Pelodiscus sinensis: one gene and its partner. The protein of the gene in region 2 interacts with the protein of the main gene of each other region in a pairwise test. Links are inferred from orthologs where the notes say so. Each region holds a gene or a part of one and is shown on either strand. Other genes may lie near its edges.

Evidence for each region.
Region 1: the proteins of RPP30 (region 2) and RPP14 interact in binary tests that used the Homo sapiens proteins (3 or more experiments, as listed by UniProt). The link is inferred for Pelodiscus sinensis from reciprocal best matches to the Homo sapiens genes RPP30 and RPP14.

What each region holds. Positions count from the first base shown.
Region 1 is NC_134721.1:380,354-387,259, forward strand, and holds the start of RPP14 (ribonuclease P protein subunit p14), read left to right. Parts: upstream 1-3,870; 5' UTR 3,871-4,370; coding exon 4,371-4,468; intron 4,469-6,165; coding exon 6,166-6,250; intron 6,251-6,843; coding exon 6,844-6,906. UniProt on the Homo sapiens protein: Component of ribonuclease P, a ribonucleoprotein complex that generates mature tRNA molecules by cleaving their 5'-ends.
Region 2 is NC_134718.1:40,357,622-40,364,652, reverse strand, and holds the start of RPP30 (ribonuclease P protein subunit p30), read right to left. Parts: upstream 3,104-7,031; 5' UTR 3,028-3,103; coding exon 2,946-3,027; intron 1,553-2,945; exon of another isoform or gene 1,276-1,552; coding exon of another isoform or gene 1,236-1,275; intron 1,100-1,235; exon of another isoform or gene 994-1,099; coding exon of another isoform or gene 942-993; intron 1-941. UniProt on the Homo sapiens protein: Component of ribonuclease P, a ribonucleoprotein complex that generates mature tRNA molecules by cleaving their 5'-ends. Also a component of the MRP ribonuclease complex, which cleaves pre-rRNA sequences.

The DNA of each region.
Region 1 (6,906 bases), on a different chromosome or scaffold from region 2:
TACTAACCAGCTGCAAATCCTATCTCCTCCCAGCTCCTGCACCATTCTGTATAGAAGGATCTGTATCAGGCTGAGTCTATATTGATGTTTTCTAGTAACGGCAGATTGCATCATGCTTTGAGATGATGGACTGGTTTGTAAGGAATCCCACTGATCAAACTGTGCCACAATGTTATAGCCCTGACACAGTTATATAGTTGCTCTTCTTACTGCCTCCATTCCTAGCACAATGTGTTTTCTCTATTTTAGAATAAGTTTTGAAAGGCCAAAAAAGCAGCAGGAACTGGAATTTCATTCATGCTTCTGAAGTTTAACACCAAAGACAGTCAGTAGTTTTTTTTAATTGTAGAACTTTAAAAAATAATTGTCAGGCCTTCATGCTGGTAACTGAGACATTAGGATTCAAAAGTAGACTTAGACTCCCAAGCCAGTCCAGGTAACCCAGACACAAGCTGGTCTCCAAACCCATCTGAGTGTTTTTGTTGTTGTGGGGTGGGTTGGTTTGTTTTGTGGTTTTTTTGCCGGGGGGGGGTTGTTTTTTGGGTTTTTTTTTTTTGTTGGCACAGGTTAAGCTGTCACGTGAACTAAAGAAGATCTCTCTGAATAAATATCCTCAGCCAGTTTTGGTCCTTCCTATTTGAACACTTCCTCAGATGGCCCTCCCTTGTATCCACTGGAGTGTAGCATTTTTGGCTATACAACTTTGTCCTCTGAATATAAGGCTCTGTGCCTCAGAATATGCAAACCTTGTAAAACTGAACTGAATCTCCTAGCCAAAAGGAAGCAAGGTCTCTGGGTACCTTTGTTAAGGTTTAAAGGAAACTCTGCATGGAATGATTTTAATAGGTATAGAAGGCAGGAGAAGGAGATTGAGACAGGAGTAGATGGAGGGAACATGAGGCCATGGACTCAGAAAGCTAAAGGTCCCACGCAGGGAGAATAAGTTATAAAATGTTACTAATCTCTCTGCTCCCTGCACACAGTAGAGTGGCATTATCACACACAGCATGTCACCCCCAATGTCTGATGGGACATTGTGGTATTATGCAAGTGATCAACTTAATTATTTGAGCAGAGAGTATGAACCTTTAAGGGCAGGTGGTGAGGGGATCATCAGCTTAAAGGGCATCATTTGGGATTTGTGTGGCTGGTCTGGTTTGTTTTCACCAAAGTGCTTTGTAGTTTTTTGGGGACAGTAAGATAGAGAGAAGTGACCCATGGAATGTAACTAGCACCTTTGGCTAGCCATCTAGAGCATAAATAAAGGACAAAAAGTGCTTGAAAGTAGTGAGAGAGAACAGACTTTGAGACATTGGCTAATAGTGATTTGGCTGCATCGCCACATCCCTGTCTTTCTGCAGCCACTGTTGACTTTTTAATCACTTTGTTTTAACGTCTCTAATAGATGTGAGTTTCTCTCTTGGTATTGCTCTGTCTTCAGTAAATCTGCCATGGATTCTCAGCATTTGGTAGTGGAGAGAGCACTAGTTTAATAAAAGAACTCAGCAGCAAAGTGGGTAAGAGGATGGTGTACCTGAGATTTAGAGAAATATCTGTCGTATTTCCGATTCTCTGCTTGTGATTGTTGTGAAGTCAATGAGAGGAGCTTTCAGTGGTCAAGTGTCCTGGCATACGGCATTTCTGTTTAACGTCAAAGCACAGGTTTCACAATGTACAAAAAAAGCTGTCTCTTAACAAAACAGAAACAAAGTGCAGTATTGCAGAGAAGAAAAAGAAAACCCCCTTTGAATGTCACATTCTCTTTTCTTTTCAGTTAGCTGATGTTGGGACTCTAGATCTTAACATGTATTTGTAAACCAGTCTTGCCAAAATACAAATGTTTTGGGTTTTTTCACTTCAGTTACCTTTTGTTCTTATTATAATTACTTCTTTTCAGTTGCTTCAACCATATGCTTTATTTCCAGAGGCCTTCCTTGTAGTTTCTCTCTTTACAGGCTATAGTGTTACATCAGTATTTAAAGATGCAAAAGAAAGCCACTAAGCTCATAAGAGAATTACTGAAATCCACTTAGCCTGGCTGGAGCTAAAGATGTGCTACCAATGTTTTCCTCCACTCAGAAAAAATTAAATTCTGCATAAAGATGCTACCTCAAGGCTCCAAGTGCTTAAAGGTCTTTCGCCCAGGAGAGTTCCATAAATCAGTTCTGCAAATTGGTCTGTTGTATAGAATTAAATGTATTTTATCGATTCATTGGGAGGCCCATATTTTAACTCATTTTACCACTAGAATTTGATTCTTAAAGGATGAATGATTGCATAGATTGATTCTTGCACTATAATTTTGACAGTGGAAAAATAATACCTGCCATATAAGCTTATGGTTTTAAAAAATATACCATTCTGGGGTTCAGCTTCACTTTTGGTTAATAAAATGCTGACATGTCGTGTCCAGCCTTCCTGGTACAATCCTCTGTGTGTGTTTTAACTTACTCCAGATGAGCATTTATGGATCTAGTGACAAAGGAGCAAGCTAAATTACTAGTATGACTGCTGGAGGTACTGTGGTAAAGTTAGTATTGTCAGTGGTCTGCTGAAAATGGTTTTGTCGTCTTGACACAGTAAAACCAGTTATAAAATTCCCCAACCACAGAATTTTACTATTTGGTGAGAGGACCCAATTGAAGCATTAAGATTACACCTTTGTGCATATTCTTGCTATGGATAAAACCAGCTCCCTGCTATTGTTGCTACAATACATAGTAAAATGGTGCAATTGGCTTTCTGACATCATTTGAGCACTGCTGGTGTATCAAGAACAGTGCAGAACACAGATTCGTAAAACAAAACTAGTCTTAGGGTGAGATCATTTCTAAAGTTACCTGCCCTGCATTTGTGGCTGACATGTGAAAGTCAGCTGGTGTGCCCCAGTGAGGAGCACCAGGAAGAGCATGGTGGGCTGCAGGCAGGGTTTCGGATGCTGCGGGTCTTTTAGAGGTTATAAATGAGAAAGCTAAGCCAGAGAGGGCAGGCACTACAAATGCAATAGGCCCAGTGATGCAAATATTACTCTCATTATAATTCCCATTATCATTAGGCTGTCTATATGATCTATTATCTGAACTTCCCTGTAAAGGAGGCACTTCCTATCCAATCAATATAGAGCTCTGCTGTGACCTATTTTCACAGAGGCCGCCGCCTTCTAAAAGCACTTCTGATTTTTTTTTTCTGCTGTATTTACCACCTATCTCAGGCCTTCCCAACAGCCTGAAGCTGATGTGCAGGCACTGCTGGCCATCTAGAAAGAGGAGTGTCTGCCAGTCTCGCAACAGGAATATGTGCTATTGGGAAGAAGTGAGTTGTGCCCACAAAAGCTCGTAATACTATCCACGTTTTGATAGTCTTTAAGGTGCTGTATGACACCTGGTTGTTTTTTACATTTTTGTGATGTTAGAGTCTGCTGGGTGATATTGGCAGTGCTAAAGTATGGAGAAACGGTCAATGGTACCAGACTGCTACCATGCACAGAACCTAACCTTTGTTACTGTATGGGATGGGATCCTTCACAATCAGAGACTGAGCCACAGCCCAGAGCTGGCTTTGTGTCAATGTAGGATGAAAGTCATGGAGCTTAATGCTCGCAGTGTTCAAGTTGCCTGTGGTTTGACACAGCTGCTGATGCTGATTCACTTGAGTCAGCAGCGGGTCAATGCTGTAGCCCGAACCTGCGTTAGATCAGTCCTGTCAATGGGCTCCGTGGTGCGGGGTAACCCCTCCCCCCCCCTCGTGCTCCCGGGCGTTCCCTCAGCGCCCAGCCCTGCACTGTGACAAGGGAGAAGTCAGGTTACTCACTCAAGTCATGCGGCCTGGCTGCGCAACGCAGGGCCCCCCCCTCACCCGCTGGGATCGTGCAGCCTCCATCAGGCTCCGCTAAGAAAAGACCCAGCCCCCGGCTGTACCAGTAACGGCGGTTCCCCTGCGCCGGGCTACGGGCTCTCGCCGCCGGGCAAGCCGCTAACGGCCCCGCTGCCATCCGGGAGGAGCATGTCCGCGGCCCCTCTAGTCACCCGAGCGCCGGGAGGCCGGGCCCTAGCCCCGGGCTGGGCCCCACTCGCGCAGGCTGAGGCGAAGTGACCGCGCAGCGAGGGGCAAACTGCGAGCTAGGCCCGGGCCCCCGCGCGCCACGTCCCCATGGCAACGCGAGCTTGGGGCAGGGAGCCCCGCACTTTCATCTGTGGAGCATCGCGCACGCGCACTTCCGGAGCCGCTGCCCAGCGCGCGCCGTTGGCCTGGAAAAGGAGGAGCTGCTCGCTGATTGGCTGGGCCGCGCCTGTTCGAGTGCGGCGCGTGCCCGTGACGCTCCCTCCCCCCCAGCGCTGCGCTCGCGGGCCGGCGGGGGAGCTGGGCACGAGATGGCGGGGGCGGGGGAGGGGCGCGGGCCCCAGCCTGCCGCCTTCGAGCGGATCGTGCTGCGCAGCGCGTCGCCGCACCACTACCTGCGGGTCCGCCTGTAAGTACCGCCCACGGGCCGCGCCCACCTGCCAAAGGCTACGAAGACAGCCGGGCGGCGCTGGGCCCCGCGGGCAGCGGGGGGGAGGGAGAGGCCGGCGCTAGGGCCCCGCGGGCAGCGGGGGGGGGGGGGGAGGGAGAGGCCGGCGCTAGGGCCCCGCGGGCAGCGGGGGGGGGGAGGGAGAGGCCGGCGCTAGGGCCCCGCGGGCAGCGGGGGGGGGGAGGGAGAGGTCGGCGCTAGGGCCCCGCGGGCAGCGGGGGGGGGGGGGAGGGAGAGGCCGGCGCTAGGGCCCCGCGGGCAGCGGGGGGGGGGGGGGAGGGAGAGGCCGGCGCTAGGGCCCCGCGGGCAGCGGGGGGAAGGGAGAGGTCGGCGCTAGGGCCCCGCGGGCAGCGGGGGGGGGAGGGAGAGGTCGGCGCTAGGGCCCCGCGGGCAGCGGGGGGGGGGAGGGAGAGGTCGGCGCTAGGGCCCCGCGGGCAGCGGGGGGGGGGGGGAGGGAGAGGCCGGCGCTAGGGCCCCGCGGGCAGCGGGGGGGGGGGGGGAGGGAGAGGCCGGCGCTAGGGCCCCGCGGGCAGCGGGGGGAAGGGAGAGGTCGGCGCTAGGGCCCCGCGGGCAGCGGGGGGGGGAGGGAGAGGTCGGCGCTAGGGCCCCGCGGGCAGCGGGGGGGGAGGGAGAGGCCGGCGCTAGGGCCCCGCGGGCAGCGGGGGGGGAGGGAGAGGCCGGCGCTAGGGCCCCGCGGGCAGCGGGGGGGGGGGGGAGGGAGAGGCCGGCGCTAGGGCCCCGCGGGCAGCGGGGGGGGGAGGGAGAGGCCGGCGCTAGGGCCCCGCGGGCAGCGGGGGGGGAGGGAGAGGCCGGCGCTAGGGCCCCGCGGGCAGCGGGGGGGGGGAGGGAGAGGCCGGCGCTAGGGCCCCGCGGGCAGCGGGGGGGGGAGGGAGAGGTCGGCGCTAGGGCCCCGCGGGCAGCGGGGGGGGGAGGGAGAGGCCGGCGCTAGGGCCCCGCGGGCAGCGGGGGGGGGGGAGGGAGAGGCCGGCGCTAGGGCCCCGCGGGCAGCGAGGGGGGAGGGAGAGGCCGGCGCTAGGGCCCCGCGGGCAGCGGGGGGGGAGGGAGAGGCCGGCGCTAGGGCCCCGCGGGCAGCGGGGGGGGGAGGGAGAGGCCGGCGCTAGGGCCCCGCGGGCAGCGGGGGGGGGAGGGAGAGGCCGGCGCTAGGGCCCCGCGGGCAGCGGGGGGGGGAGGGAGAGGTCGGCGCTAGGGCCCCGCGGGCAGCGGGGGGGGAGGGAGAGGCCGGCGCTAGGGCCCCGCGGGCAGCGGTGGGGGAGGGAGAGGTCGGCGCTAGGGCCCCGCGGGCGCCGGCCGCTTCCGCACCTGCAGGAAATCGAAAGAGCGCGAAGCGCCTAGCGGGGCTTCAGGCTGCGCATGCGCAGAGCGTAGCTGTAGCACAGGCCCCGTCTGCGACTACAATCCGCTTCGCTGCCAAGTCGGTCCGAGGCGCCGCCCATTGGGCCGCAGCGTCAGTAGCCCGCCCTTCCGAGAAACCGCAGCTGGCGATTGGCCAGCGGGCGCGTCCGTCTGGCGGCGGAACGGAGCCCCAATGGCGGGGGTCGGACGGTGTTTTAGCGGACTCCGAGACACGTGACACGCCCGGTCACGTGGCTGGCGCGCGTTTTCCGTAGCCCGTGGTAACGCCCCGCGCTGCTTTGCAGGGACGGCCCCGAGAGCGGAGTCGCGCTGAGCGCCGCGCCCTTCAAGCAGCTCGTCCTGTCGGCGCTGCGGGAGCTGCACGGCGAGGTGAGGCCCCGCCCTTCGGGCTGCTCCCGGCAGTGCGCACACAGGCCTGGGCTTCCTTTCGGCGAGTCACCGGGCTCAGGCAATGCCAGCCGCTCTCGGGGGGCCTGGCCGTCTGCGGCTCACCACACGGGGGCCTGCAGCACCTTGGGACTGACGACAAATGCAGGTGATACGATGCATTTCGTGGGTGCCCACAGCCGCTCATGATACTCGCTACATTTGTTGTTAGTTTCCAAGGTGCTGCAGGACTAGTTGTTGTTTCTTAATTTTAGCAGGAGACGCAGGCAAGCAGAAAATATAGCTCATTGGACTGGGGCTTGGGGTCCTAGGATTTATTCTTGGTCTCGCCACTGATTTGCTGGTGCAGCAAGTCATATCCCCTTATTGCTTGAGTTTTGCCGGCTATAAAATTGTGATAATGATGCTTTGTAAAGTGCTTTGAGATCTTTGAATGAAAAGGGCTCTATAAAAGCTGGACATTACAATGTTGTTCTAATAATTTCTGTTGGAGAACCTGGAACTCAGACATTCATAAACTGATGTAAAAGCAGTGACTAAGGCTCATTTAACAGTAGTGCCCTGTTTGTGCATAGGTTGGTGCAGCCTTGCCTGTTGATGTCTTAACATATGAGGAAAAGACCTTCTCTGCAATACTA
Region 2 (7,031 bases):
GACCACCAGTTGAGAACCACAGCAGTAGATGTTTGCCCTCCATCTGTGAAATTGGAGCAAATCCAATTGTATCTTAGCGCTTGGCTGTATACAATAGATTGAGAAATGTGTCTGAGATGAAAGTTAGATGCATGAAGGTAAGTGTAGCAGTTAGTAGGTTTCCCGTATAGGATGGTGGAAATTTGTCCATCATTTAATTGTACTGTAGTGTCAAGAAAGTGGATTTCTCGTGTGGACTGATCCAGGCTGAGATTGATGGTTGGGTGGAAGTTGTTGAAATCCTTGTGAAATTCTTCCAGGGTCTCTTTCCCATGGATCCATGTGATGAAGATGTCATTGATGTCGCGTAAGTAAAGTAAGGGTGATGGGGGCGAGAACAGAGGAAACGCTGTTCAAGGTCAGCCATAAAGATGTTGGCATATTGTGGTGCCATGCACATGCCCATGGCTGTGCCACTGACTTATGGCTGCTGTCCTGCAAACAATTATGCAGATGCTGAATTGTAAGAACACACACAGTAGTCCCATGGAAGTCAGTAAGACGACTTGCACCATAATGTTAGAGCACATACACAAGAGCTTCTAGTACTAGTGCCTCAGGATATGTCTCTTCTCAGGGGAAAAAAAGACCCCAAACACATACAAAAGCATCCCACTGCAAAGAGTCTTGGGGTATATCTATGCTACAATTAGAAACCCACAGCTTGCCTGTGCCAGCTGACTTAGGCCATGTCTACACTTACATAGCTGTGCTGCTGTAAGAGTGTTCATGTAGCTGTATTATGTTGACAGGATAGAGGTCTTCTGTTGATATCATAAAACCAACTACTGCTGCTCTCTGAACTATGTCAGCTGGAGAGTGTCTCTCACCAACACAGCACTGTGGATATGAGCACTTATGCTGGCAAAACTTAGCCATTCACAGGGGTGTTATTTTCATACCTCTGAGTGACAAAAGGTTTACTGATGTAAGTACTAATGTAGACATGGCCATGGACTTGTGGGGCTCAGACAAAGTTGTTTAGTTGCAGTATAGACATTTGGGTTCAAGCTGCCTGAGCTCTGGCACCCTTCTACCCTACAGGGTCCTAGGATTCAACCTGGGGATATAAAATCATACACAAAAACAAAAACAGTGTAACCAACCAAAATTCTATCAGTTCCCAGTCAAACGTTTACTCTGACACACAAGGCTATGGAAGGCTACCGGAGGAGCACCTGTCACCAGGGTCTTACCTGATGGCCCCACATCTAAGGCTCTGCCCTCAGTAGGCATCCTGGTGTGCAAGGGGTCCCAGCTGCTCGCCCCCCAGCTGCTGGCAACGCCAGGATGCCAAGTGGCAGCAGAATCACAGGTACAGAGCCAGTAGCCAGCATCCCAGGCCGCAGCAGCGGATGATTGACAGACCCCAGCCGTCAGGCCAGAGCCCAGCTGTGGGGTTCATAGACCAGAGGGGCTGGCAGCCCACAGGAACCTGGGGTTCTACGATGCCAGGTGCAGCAGCCAGGAAAGCAAGTAACCGTAGCACCCCAGGCATGGCAGCAGCAGAACCCTGGGCACCAGACTGGCAGCTAGGAGGAGCTTCAGGCACACAGCTGGTAGGTGGGATCCTAGGCATTGTTAAACCATTAACAGAAACTGATAAATCTCATCTTATCAGTTAACCCATTAATCTCCTACTTCCCTAAATCCAGCGTAAGCCTGAATGTCTAGATCACAAATATAAACAGCCCTTTACCCTAAGGTGAGAGTCAACTGGCACAGACCAGCTGGACTTAAAACTGTGGTGTAGTTATACAATCAGCGCACAGGTCAACTAACGCAGGCTCCTGCTGCAGAGCTAAAAATAGTAATATAAACATTCAGACTCTAGCTCCAGCCCAAAATCCAGTGAGACTCTCCACCTTGCTGGCTTCAGAGTTAGGGCTCCAGCCTGTGCTGAGAAAGCTACATAACAAAAAAGTCCCAAGCTGGGCAGGACAGAGAGGTTTTACTAGAAATAGTGCACATCTACCATGACAGAAAGGATACGCTTAAACCGGCTTATTCATTGGAACTATCACAACAATTAGCCAAAGCGACGAGGAGTCCTGTGGCACCTTATAGACTAACTGAAGTGTAGGAGCATAAGCTTTCGTGGGCAAAGACCCACTTCGTCAGATGCAGTGGGTCTTTGCCCACGAAAGCTTATGCTCCTACACTTCAGTTAGTCTATAAGGTGCCACAGGACTCCTCGTCGCTTTTGCAGATTCAGACTAACACGGCTACCCCTCTGATACTTAACAATTAGCCAGGCTATCTTTCCAGCAGAGGTAAAAGTAAGCAGGTACACCCTGATGCACAGCTCTTCAGCAAGAGAAGGCTAAGCTGTGGCAAAAGCCAGCTGGGAGCTATTTAAAGAGCTGGCAGGGACGGGACAGTACCTGTAAGAAATTTTAAGTTACTTCCACCCCTGCTTTCCAGTCCCACATGAGAGATGTTAACTTAATGAATGAAGTGATGCCAATTAAAGATGCCAATGTGTAGACGACTACAGATTAACCGATAAGTCTAGGCTTCTCAGTTGATCCTGCTGACCACGCACATTTCCTTCCCACCTTGCTTCCTCTGTATCAGAGACAGCATGGAGGGTGGGGGCCCATAGAGAGCCAGCTCCCCATGAGAACTGGATCTGTCTTCTCACTTCTGTGCTGCACAACACTCAGGCTGCTGCTGCCTGCCCAAGAGCCAGGGGTTACCAACGGGGCGGGGAGCAGCGCTCTCCGCCCCAAGACAGGCCGGCAATGGGGGGACCCCTGCACGCGAGCTACCGCTGGATAGCGCCCACCCCGGCTCTTGCACGGGCAGCAGCCAATGGGCGACTCGCCCCGAGCCCGCAGCGCCCGGCAGGCTGGGAGAGCCGCGCGGACCTGGCCGGCGCCTGGGGGGGAGGGGGTGGTACTCACGGTGCGCGGCGGCCTCCAGCAAATTCTGCAGCGACTTGAGGTCCGGCGCGCGCGGGACGTTCAGATCCGCAAACACGGCCATGCTGCCACCACGTGGTGCCAGCAGCCTCAGCGGCAGGGCGGCGCTGGCACCTCCACGTAGGCTGCGCCCAAGGCATGCTGGGGGTTGTAGTTTGCACCCCCAGCCTCCCGCGCTGCTGTGGCGGACGGGCGGTGCGTGCGGGCCCGTGCAACCCAGCCTTCCCAGCTGCGCCCAGGGGCAGGTTCCCTGTGCTCGCACGCCCCGGGGCAGCCAGCCTGGGCCTGGGGTTCGCAGCCTCGCAGCATGGCCCCTGCCTAGGGATGTGAAGGACTCGTCGACTATCCCATAAGCAAATGCTTATGGGATACACCACAAGCTAGTCAACTAGTCACTTCCCCCATTGCTGTCTCCCATCAGAAAGAGGCAGAAAGGGAGGGGGGAAGTGGAGGGGGTACTTCCAAGCGGCAGCCGCTGCTTGAAACCTGGAGCCAGGTCCCCATGGTGTTTCAAAGTGGCAGCATCGCGTGGAGCCCGGGATATGAGAGAGAGAGAGAGAGAGAGAGAGAGAGAGAGAGTGTGTGTGTGTGTGTGTGTGTGTATATATATATAGAGAGAGAGAGAGAGAGAGAGAGAGAGAGCCAGGTCCCCATGGTCCCCATGGTGTTTCAAAGTGGCAGCATCGCGTGGAGCCCGGGATGTGAGAGTGTGTGTGTTTGTGGTGTATAGGCTACGTTATTCCTGCTTCCTGCCCTACATGGATCCCTGAGCTAGTGGTGCTGCTACCCTCAGCTGCAGAGACACATTGCAAAGAAGCCCAGAAAAGTGAATCCCAGATTTTCTGAACCCTGATAGCCCCCTGAAAGCCCCCTAACAAATGACATGGCTCTTAGCTACATTGTAGCTCCATATATATGTAAAAATGTTGTAGAGGTGGAATCCTTTTCAGAAACAATGTTGAAACAAGGTGAGGTCTTTATTTCCGGGAGAGAGCAACATTGTAGCCACTAGATGGAGCAGCTATATTATTCAACTGAATTATTACCAATGAAATTATTTGAGGCATCATCAGAACATTGAAAATGTCAACAAAAGGGGATAATTGTTTTTAAGATACAGCATTTTCTGACAGATTACGTTTAAAATGTAATCTGTTGTTTATAAATAACTATATAGGTTTTACATATTCTATTAATACATTTTAACCACTGTTAGTGAACCTCACCCTCAAACTAGCATTCAAATTGACAGAAAATATCAGGATGCATCTGTCAAAGTGGTTTTTACCCACAAAAGCTTATGCCCAAATAAATATCATAGAATCATAGAACTGGAAGAGATCTCAGAAGGTCATCAAGTCCAGCCCCCTGTTCTAGGCAGGACCAATCCCAACTAAATCAACCCAGCCAGGGCTTTGACAACTCAAGACTTAAACACCTCTAGAGATGGAGACTCCACTACTTCCCTAGGTAACCCATTCCAGTGTTTCACAACTAAATCAACCCAGCCAGGGCTTTGTCAACTCAAGACTTAAACACCTCTAGAGATGGAGACTCCACTACTTCCCTAGGTAACCCATTCCAGTGTTTCACAACTCTCCTAGTGAAATAGTTTTTCCTAATATCCAACCTGGACCTCTCCCACCCCAACTTGAGACCATTGCTCCTTGTTCTGCCATCTGTCACCACTGAGAACAGCCTCTCTCCATCCTCTTTGGAAGCTCCCTTCAGGAAGTTGAAGGCTGCTATCAAATCCCCCCTCACTCTTCACTTCTCCAGACTAAACAGACCCAACTCTGTCAGCCTTTCCTCATAGGTCATATGCTCCAACCCCCTAATCATTTTGGTTGCCCTCTGCTGGACCCTCTCTAATGCGTCCACATCCTTTTTGTAGTGGGGGGCCCAGAACTGGACACAATACTCCACATGTGGCCTCACCAGAGCCGAATAAAGGGGAATAATGACATCTCTGGATCTGCTGGCAATGCTCCTCTTAATGCAACCTACTAGGCCATTAGTCTACAAGGGCACACTATTGACTCATATCCAGCTTCTCATTCACTGTAACCCCCAGGTCCTTTTCTGCAGAACTACTACTTAGCTGGTTGATCCCCAGCCTGTAACAATGCTTGGGATTCTTCCGTCCCAAGTGCAGGATTCTGCACTTGTCCTTGTTGAACCTCTTCAGATTTCTTGTGGCCCAATCCTCCAATTTGTCTAAGTCACTCTGGACCTTATCTCTGCCCTCAAGAGTATCTACCTCTCCCCCTAGCTTACTGTCATCTGCAAAATTGCTGAGGGTGCAATCTTTCCCCTCATCCAGGTCATTAATAAAGATATTGATCAAAACCGGTCCTAGAACTGAACCTTGGGGCACTCCGCTAGAAACCGACCACCATCCTGACATTGACCCGTTGATCACTACCCGCTGGGCCCGGCCTTCTAGCCAGCTTTCTATCCATCTTATAGTCCATTTATCCAATCCATATACCCTTAACTTGCTGGCAAGAATATTGTGGGAGACTGTATCAAAAGCCTTGCTAAAGTCAAGGTATATCACATCCACTGACTTTCCCATGTCCACATAGCCAGTTACCTCACCATAGAAGCTAATCAGATTGGTCAGGCACGACTTGCCCTTTGTGAATCCATGCTGACTATTCCTAATCACTTTCCTCTCTTCCAAGTGCCTCAAAATGGATTCCTTAAGGATCCCTTCCATGATTTTTCCAGGAACCAGGTAAGGGTGACCATGCTATAGTTCCCTGGATTGTCCTTCTTCCCTTTTTTGAAGATGGGCACTACATTTGCCTTTTTCCAGTCATCTGGGATCTCTCCTGATCTCCATGACTTTTCAAAGATAATGGCCAGAGGCTCCTCAATGACATTTGCCAACTCCCTCAGCACCCTCGGATGCATTAAGTCTGGACCCATGGATTTGTGTACATTTAGCTTTTCTAAATAGTTCCTTATCTGTTCTTTATCCACCAAGGGCTGTTGTTCTTCATCCCATCTTGTGTCATTTAGCGCATTAGTCTGGGAACCAATCTTGTCCGTGAATACAGAGGCAAAGAAAGCATTGAGTACTTCAGCTTTCCCCACATCATCTGTCACTAGGTTACTCCATCCAGTAGGGGCCCCACGCCCTATCTGATCACCTTCTTCTTGCTAACATGCCTGTAGAAACCTTTCTTATTATCCTTCACATCCTCTGCCAGTCGCAATTCCATTTGCATTTTTGCTTTCCTGATAACCCCCCGGCATTCTCGAGCTGTACATTTAAACCCTGGTCCCTGGTCATTTGTCCAAGTTTCCACTTTTTGAAAGCTCCCTTTTTGTGCTTAAGTTCACCAAGGATTTCCCCTGTAAGCCAATCCAGTCTCATACCATGTTTGCCTCTCTTGCTATGCATCGGGATGGTTTTTTGCTGTGCCTTCAATAAGGCTTCTTTAAAATACTGCCAGCTGTCCTGGACTCCTTTCCCCTTTATGTTAGCATCCCAGGGGATTCTACCCATCAGGTCTCTGAGGGAGTCAAAATCTGCTTTTCTGAAGTCCAAAGTGTGTATTTTACTACTCTCTTTTCTTCCTTTGGTCAGGATCCTGAAATCTACCATCTCATGATAACTGCTTCCCATGTTGTCACCCACCTCTACTTCCCCTATTAGTTCCTCCCTGTTTGTGAGCAGGTCAAGCTGCACATGGCTGCTGGTCGGATCCTTCAGCACTTGTACCAAGAAGTTATCCCCAACATTCTCCCAAAACGTCCTGGTTTGCCTGTGTACTGCCGTATTGGTTTCCCAACAGATGTCAGGGTGATTAAAGTCCCCCACAAGAACCAGGGCCTGCAATCTGGAAGCTGGTATAGATGTACCCTTAGTCTTTAATGTGTTCGAAGAAAGCCACATCTACCTCATCCACCTGATTCGGTGGCCTGTAGCAGACACCAACCACAACATCACTGCTGTTGTTTGTACCTCTAAACTTAACCTGTAGACTCTCATCAGGTTTTTCTCCCTCAGTATACTGGAGTTCAGAGCAATCATAGTGCTCTCTTACGTATAGTGCA